Linked DNA regions of Macaca fascicularis. The protein of the gene in region 2 purifies or fractionates together with the protein of the main gene of each other region. This does not show direct contact. Links are inferred from orthologs where the notes say so. Each region holds a gene or a part of one and is shown on either strand. Other genes may lie near its edges.

The links. Proteins that work in one complex are often made in the same cells at the same time.
Region 1: the proteins of EYA4 (region 2) and DCTPP1 purify together in Homo sapiens (affinity purification with mass spectrometry; 3 studies listed by BioGRID and IntAct, with this or other methods). This does not show direct contact. The link is inferred for Macaca fascicularis from reciprocal best matches to the Homo sapiens genes EYA4 and DCTPP1.

Annotation. Positions count from the first base shown.
Region 1 is NC_088394.1:28,564,845-28,568,975, forward strand, and holds the end of DCTPP1 (dCTP pyrophosphatase 1), read right to left. Parts: intron 1,474-4,131; coding exon 1,173-1,473; 3' UTR 634-1,172; downstream 1-633. UniProt on the Homo sapiens protein: Hydrolyzes deoxynucleoside triphosphates (dNTPs) to the corresponding nucleoside monophosphates. Has a strong preference for dCTP and its analogs including 5-iodo-dCTP and 5-methyl-dCTP for which it may even have a higher efficiency.
Region 2 is NC_088378.1:37,438,916-37,442,802, reverse strand, and holds part of EYA4 (protein phosphatase EYA4), read right to left. Parts: intron 1,307-3,887; coding exon 1,123-1,306; intron 1-1,122. UniProt on the Homo sapiens protein: Tyrosine phosphatase that specifically dephosphorylates 'Tyr-142' of histone H2AX (H2AXY142ph). 'Tyr-142' phosphorylation of histone H2AX plays a central role in DNA repair and acts as a mark that distinguishes between apoptotic and repair responses to genotoxic stress.

The DNA.
Region 1 (4,131 bases), on a different chromosome or scaffold from region 2:
AGCCTGGGTGACAGAGCGAGACTCAGTTTCAACACTATATTTAAATAATAATAATAAAAAAAGGCAAATGGCTGGGCGCGGTGGCTCGGGCCTGTAATCCCAGCACTCTGGGAGGCCGAAGCGGGCAGATCACCTAAGGTCAGAAGTTCAAGACCAGCCTGGCCAACAGGGTGAAACCCCATCTCTACTAAAAATACAAAACATTAGCCGGGCGTAGTGGCGGGCACCTGTAGTCCCAGCTACTTGGGAGGTTGAGGCAGGAGAATGGTGTGAACCCAGGAGGCGGAGCTTGCAGTGAGCTGAGATCGCACCACTGCACTCCAGCCTGGGAGAAAGAGTGAGACTCCATCTCAAAAAAATAAAACAAAAAAAAACTGGGCGTGATGGTGGGCGCCTGTAATCCCAGCTGCTGGGAGGCTAAGGCATGAGATTCACTTGAACTCAGGAGGCAGAGGTTGCAGAGAGCCGAGATCACACCGCTGCACTCCAGCCAGGCCAACAAAAGTGGGATTCTGTCTTTTAAAAAAAAAAAAAAGGAAAACAGGTAATAACAATAACCGCAAACTTACCCTTTACTACGTGCCAGGCCCCACCCTGAGCACTCACGTAACTCATTGAAACCTCACAACCCTATTGGGCAGGTACTATTCTTTTTATTTTATAGACAAGGAAGCTGAAGTGCATAAAGATTAATTTGAGTAATGTCATCCAGCTTGCAAGTGTCAAAGATGGCATCTGAACCCAGACAGCCTGGCTCCAACATCTGGACTCTTATAGCCTCCAATCTCTAAAAGGAGGGGGAAGGAACTTACATGACATCCTACTGGGAATTTGCTAAAAACCAGATCTCTCTGCCCTACAGGCAAAAGGTAAAAACAGGGAAACACGAGAATGGGGCTCAGAGGCACCCCTGGTCCCCTCGCCATCACCGGCAGAGACAGAGAGCCTCCCTGGCCATCCAGGAAGAATCTAGAAGTTATTGCCCAAAACCATTTTACTGGGAGAGCAAATACCAGGAGGCTACCTTCTAGAGGTTGCTGGGCCTCAGACCTCAAGAAGTGGAGACCTCAGGCCCACGATCTATTTGGAAAAGACTAGAAAATGGCTCCAGGGCCGGGCCACCCTCTGCTCTTCAGACACCACCCTGAGTTGCAAGTCCTGTGGCCACCTTTCTAGGTTGAGGTCTGGCCCGTGGAGTCACAGGGAAGGTCCGCAGGCCTCACAGCCTGGTCTTCAGAGACGGCACCATGGGGCAATTCTGTATACTTGCGGGAAGAGCTGCGGGCCAGATGGGCTGGGTAGCGTCGCCGGTTGATGTCCATTTTGGAGAGCACTGCTAGCGGCAGATCCACACGGCAGCGGGCTGCTAATGCCACCAGGTAGATGAGGACGTCACTAAGCTCCTCTTGAAGGGCTAACCGTTCCCTGGGGGACCAGCCTTGGGGGCCAGGTTCCCCATCGGTTTTCCACTGACTAGGGGCAGAACACAGACAGACACACACTCAGATGTAACCTGGGACAATGGGCTCTGCCAGTCTTTGCAGTAATAACACCCACCTCCAATGATGACCCAACCCATCTGGGCCCTGGGAAGAGTCAGGTGGGGAAGAGAGCCCAACAGATGATACCAAGATGTCTGTGTCTCTCCCTGGGCCAACGAGTGGCCAAAAGAACATTTCATTTGTTGAGACAAAGCTTTGAGGCCCAATTCTAATTCTCCCCAGCCCTAGCCATCACCACCCCAGACCAAACCTTGGACCTGGACCACTGCAGAAGCCTCCCCACTCATCTCCCTGCTAACTCATCTTTTACTCCTGCCCAGACCATCTTTTCTTTTTTTTGAGACAGAGTCTCACTCTGTCACCCAGGCTGGAGTGGAGTGCAATGGCGCGATCTCACTGCAACCTCCACCTCCTGGGTTCAAGCGATTCTCCTGCCTCAGCCTTCCGAGTGGCTGGGATTACAGGCATGTGCTGCCATGCCCAGCTAATTTTGTTTTTCTTTTCTTTTTTTTTTTTTTTTTTGAGACAGAGTCTCGCTGTGTCGCCCAGGCTGGAGTGCAGTGGCCGGATCTCAGCTCACTGCAAGCTCTGCCTCCCGGGTTTTTACGCCATTCTCCTGCCTCAGCCTCCCGAGTAGCTGGGACTACAGGCGCCCGCCACCTCACCCGGCTAGTTTTTTGTATTTTTTAGTAGAGACGGGGTTTCACCGTGTTAGCCAGGATGGTCTCGAACTCCTGACCTCGTGATCCGCCCGTCTCGGCCTCCCAAAGTGCTGGGATTACAGGCTTGAGCCACCGCGCCCGGCCTAATTTTGTTTTTCTAGGAGAGACAGGGTTTTGCCATATTGGCCAGGCTGGTCTCGAACTCCTGACCTCAGGTGATCTGCCTTCCTCGGCCTCTCAAAGTGTTGGGATTACAGACATGAGCCACCGCACCCAGCACAGACCATCTTTTAAAATCACAAATCAGGCCGGGCGCAGTGGCTGACGCCTGTAATCCCAGCACTTTGGGAAGCTGAAGCGGGTGGATTACGAGGTCAGGAGTTCAAGACCAGCCTGGCGAAGACAGTGAAACCCCGTCTCTATTAAATAAACAAAAAAATTAGTTGGGCGTGGTGGTGGGCACCTATAATCCCAGGTACTCAGGAGGCTGAGGCAGATAAATTCTTGAACCGGCAAGCAGAGGTTTCAGTGAGCTGAGATCGCACCACTGCATTCCAGCCTGGGCGACAGATCAAGACTCCATCTCAAAAAAACAAAAACAAAAACAAAACAAAACAAAAATCTGCTGGGTGGTGTGGCTTATGCCTGTAATCCCAGCACTTTGGGAGGCTGAGGTGGGTAGATCACCTGAGGTCAGGAATTCGAGAATCGCCTGGCCAACATGGTGAAACCCCATCTCTACTGAAAATACAAAGTAGCCAGGCGTGGTGGCACATGCCTGTAATCTCAGCTACTGGGGAGCCTGAGGCAGGAGAATTGCTTGAACCTGGGAGGCGGAGGTTGCAGTGACCTGATATCATGCCCTCACGCCATCACACTCCAGACTGGGCCACAAGAGCAGAACTCCATCTGAAAACAAACAAACAAAAAACCCCACAAATTACATTTTTCCCCTTCTCTGCTAAAATCCAAACTGTGCTTAGAATATAATCTAAACTCCCGACAAAGCCCTCCTGTGCTGCATGGGCTGATGCCTGCCTTTTCCAATGCCCCTGCCCACCACTCTCACTCCCCACCTAAGGCCACTCTGGCTTGTTCTGGCTTGCACACAGGCCAAGCTGTCACAGGGCCTTTGCACTCACTACTTCCTCTGCCTTGAACGCTTCCCCATCCCCCAGCATTCCCCGGGCTAGCTTCTTCCTGTTATTTAGGGCTCAGCCTAGATGTCACCTCCTGGCTCGTCACCTTGTGGTTTTTTTTAAGACAGTCTCGCTCTGTCACCCAGGCTGGAGTGCAGTGGTGCGATCTCGGCTCACTGTGCCAGTTCCGCCTCCTGGGTTCACGCCAGTCTCCTGCCTCAGCCTTCTGAGTAGCTGGGACTACAGGGGCCCGCCACCACGCCTGGCTAATTCTTTTGTATTTTTAGTAGAGATGGGGTTTCACCGTGTTAGCCAGGATGGTCTTGATCTCCTGACCTCATGATCCACCTGCCTCGACCTCCTGAAATGCTGGGATTACAGGCATGAGCCACAGTGCCCGGCGGTTTTTTTTTTTTTTTTTTTTTGAGACAGAGTCTTGTTGTCGCCCAAGCTGGAGTGCAATGGTGTGATCTCGGCTCACTGCCATCTCTGCCTCAGCCTCCCAAGTAGCTGGGATTATAGGCGCCTGCAACCACACCTGGCTAATTTTTGCATTTTTAGTAGAGACAGGGTTTTGGCATGTTGGCCAGGCTGGTCTTTTTTGTTTTGTTTTTTGAGATGGAGTTTTGCTCTGTCGCCCTGGCTGGAATGCAGTGGTACAATCTTGACTTACTGCAACCTCTGCCTCCGGGGTTCAAACGATTCTCCTGCCTCAGCCTCCAGAGGAGCTGGGACTACAGGGGCATGCCACCATGCCCAGCTAATGGTTGTATTTTTTAGTAAAGACAGGGTTTCACCATGTTGGCCAGGCTGGTCTTAAACTCCTGA
Region 2 (3,887 bases):
TCTTTTGAAGAGCAAAAGTTCTTTACAATTTTTTGAAATCTAATTTTATCTGTTCTTTTCTTGTATGAATTGTGTTTTTAATGTCATATCTATAAAATCTTTATGTAGCCCAGAGTCACAAAGATTTTCACCATTTTTTTCTTCTAGAAGTTTTATAGTTTTAGCTTTTTAGATGTAGGCTTACAATCCATTTTGAGGTAATTTTTGTATACAAGTTGAGATTCTTTCCTCTTTTGCACAAAGATGTCCAATTGTTCCAGCACCATTTGTTTAAAAAGACTGGCCTTTGTATCCTGATTCAAAAATCTGCTTTCTAGCATAAATACGCCTCTGTTTCTGGACTCTCCATTGTGTTTCATTGCTCTATGCGTCTATCCTTTCACATTCCCTTGATTACTGTACATTATAAGTCTTTAAATCAGGTAATCTGAGTCTTCAAACTTTGTTCTTATTTTTAAAAATAGTTTTGACTATTCTAATTCATCCACCTTTCCTTGTGATTTTAGAACCATCTCAATAATTTCTCCAAAAAGTCCTGGAACTTTTCTTAGGATTATGCTGAGTCTCTGTTAAATTTGCTTTTAACTTTAAATACTTCAGCTGTGTCAAATTATGTGTAGCAAATGCAATTTGAATACTGCAAGTTTCAGATAATGAAACACACAATGGATTTTAAATACACACTGATCACACAAAGACATTAAACTACCTACCACTGATTCTACAAATCCCAGGAATGTAGGAAATGTTCACTGGCTAGAGCTACTAACAACTTACAAAGGTGAAGGGCTTATGCAGTCTCTTTAGCATAAAGGAAATAATATCAGTCATACTCAAGGAAGATAATATTACAACTTTGTTGCAAGTTCTTCACAAAATGAATAATGAGTCTGGTAAAAGCTCCATATTTATATGTACACCATCATTTAGAGATTAAAATCGCCTATCTGTCCCATATCTAAAAGAAGGATCTTCTGGAATGCCAGAAGAGCCTCATTTTATACAGTCATGCTACCACAGATTAAACATCAGCACAATTATCTGAGAGCTTTCAGCCATGTTTTCGGAATGTCCACTTTCTCCATTTTACTAGATACTGCAAAACATATAAAAGTGTTTCACCTGGGTGAAGATCTGTACCTGGTTGGTTAGTCAGTCCTGGGAGAGATTCCTGCAACTGGTAAGTAGAGGTTGAAGAGGGTGTGCCATCGGCTGTGTTATTTGATGTCATATACGCTCCATACGTTGATGCTGAATAATACTGTGCATACTGGTTTTGGCCAAAGGCTGTATAGGATGGATAATCCTGAAACAATAATTGAGATGTGTGTGTTTGAAAGAGAAATTACTCTTTAATACTCTCCAAAGAAAACCAGTCATTACAGTAACTGAAAGATTAGTACTCAGCCCCGTTTGTTTCTGAGTCCACAGCTTTGAGGTGCTCCTAATGAGCAGAGACTACTTGGTGGGCATCTCTTACAAGCATATAGTAGTGAAATACCCTATTGTTTTGGCAAACCAGGTCCAGTATACAAATTTTAATGTGATTAAAGTTAGCATATGCTTCACTTTGCTCCTGATAATTACTTATTCAAGGATTTACATCATCAGGACCTACGTGTTTGAAGAGGAAAGAAGGAGATGGAATCAGTTCATATTCACAAAATCAGTTCTTACATATCTTCTAACACTACCAGCAAGGAGTTGGGGCTGCCCCTCCTAGACTCCACAAAGACCTCAGTCTGCATTTTTGTGATTTTTGTTCCTTTCTGGGCTACCACTGACAATTCTGTTTTCTTGGAAGGAGGTAAAAAGTAAATAAAAGGAGATGAATACGACTTTTTTTTTTTTTTTTTTTTTTTTACCCAGCCTCTCACAAACTATATGACACCTGAGGCCTTGACTTAAAGTCTTTAGTGAACTTTTCAATTATTTAGTTTCCCTCCTTTGTTACAGAGATAAACGAAAGCACTGAATCAACACCCTTGACCTGCTTTTTATTAAAAAATTTTAAGAACCTTAAAATGATGATAATGACCCTTCAAAATCCTTTTACATAGTAGGATGATGAGTAAGGAATTGTTGTGATAACTGGTGTTTAATATATCTAGCATGTGTCAGCCCAAAATGTTATCAGTGATGACAAATCCTTGGTCATCACCGATAACATTAAGATCCCCCGATGAAATGTGTTCCAAAGGAAACAAAGATCTACATTTGATATGGTTTCCAAAAACTAAAAGAAATAATCTATATTATAAGTAAATATGTATACTATCATAAAGGATTAGGTAATATGGCAGAAAACTAAAATTCTATTAGTCTGAAAATTTCAAGATCCAATGTTTCCCACTACCACTTGTGAGCCAAGAACAAAAACCTCATCATATCTAAACAAAGTTCCTAGCAGTATCTCTCAAAGTAAAACAGTGATAGCAGAGGTTTACATAGTGCTTGCTCTGTATCAAGACACTGTTCTAAGGGCTCAAATATATTTACTCATTTAATCCTCATAATCTCTTATGTGGTCTTAATACTATATTCATTTTACATTGAAGGGGACTAAGGCACAGAGTGGTTAAGTGATTTGTACAAGGTCACACAGCTAGTAAGTTTCAGAGCTAGATTTGAACCCAGAGTGCCTAAGTCAAACATCTGTGCTGAAGCGCTCTGTTAGCCTACTAATTCCTGCAGAAGAAGATGAGGTTACATACTGGAAAGGTCCAGGCTATTCCCCACTGGGGAATATAATGTCTTTTCATATTCAAACGTATCTCAAAGATCTCCCTTTCTTTTCATTTCCACTGTCGTCCCCCTTGTCCAAGCTCCCTTTTCTTCCTGTTGCAGGCAATGTATTCATTTTTAAATTTATCTCCTCTTTCCATTTTTGACTTTCTCCAAAGACCTTGGTGGTAGAGTTATCTTCTCAAAACATAAATTAAATGATGTAATTTTCTTGCTCAAAATCTCATCATAGCCTCCCACTGGGCTTGGAATAGAATCCAAATTCCTTATTGTAAACCACCAGGCCTTACGTGAGTAGGCCCCCACCTATCTCTGCAAATGTGTTTCCGCACTTGCCCCTCATGCACTAACTAAACTCCAGCCTTTTTTTTTTTTTTTTTTTTTTTTAGTTCAGTGACACACCAAGTCTTCCATCCGTCGGGGATTTGGTACACGCTGCTTTCTTTGCCTGAAACACCACTGCCCTCCTTCACCTAACTCTTAGAAGTCTTGGCCTAAATGTGGTTTCCATAGAGAAGCCTTATATAAAACCTCCCCTATTCAAAATTATACTTCAGTTGATATTTTAACAGACCCTGTTCTCTTCCTAAATCTGTATTTGTGTGTTTACTGGTTTATTGTCTGTTTGTCCCAGTAGGCTGTAAGCTCCATGAGGCAGGAATCATACCTGATCCACTCTGGCCCCACCTTCGTGTACCCCAGTATACAGACCAATTCCTAACACTTAATGGGCACTCAATAGGTATTAGCCAAAACAACAAACTGGTGCTCAGGCCATGGTCCCAAATACAGATTACATTTTATATTGTGATCCATTGTATTTAAATCTTCACAGATTTTCGGATCTGTTTTATGATTAACTGTTTTTAAATAAACGTTTTTTTTCCTTTAAAAATCTTTTCTTAATCCTCCCAAATAGAGGCAGAGTAGTTTTTCTCTTATAGTACAACTCTACCTAGTGTATATTTCTGTTATATGTGTGTGTGTGTGTATATATATGTATATATATACATACACATTTTTTTTTTTTTTTTTTTTTTTTTGAGACGGAGTCTCGCTCTGTCGCCCAGGCTGAAGTGCAGTGGCCGGATCTCAGCTCACTGCAAGCTCCGCCTCCCGGGTTCACGCCATTCTCCTGCCTC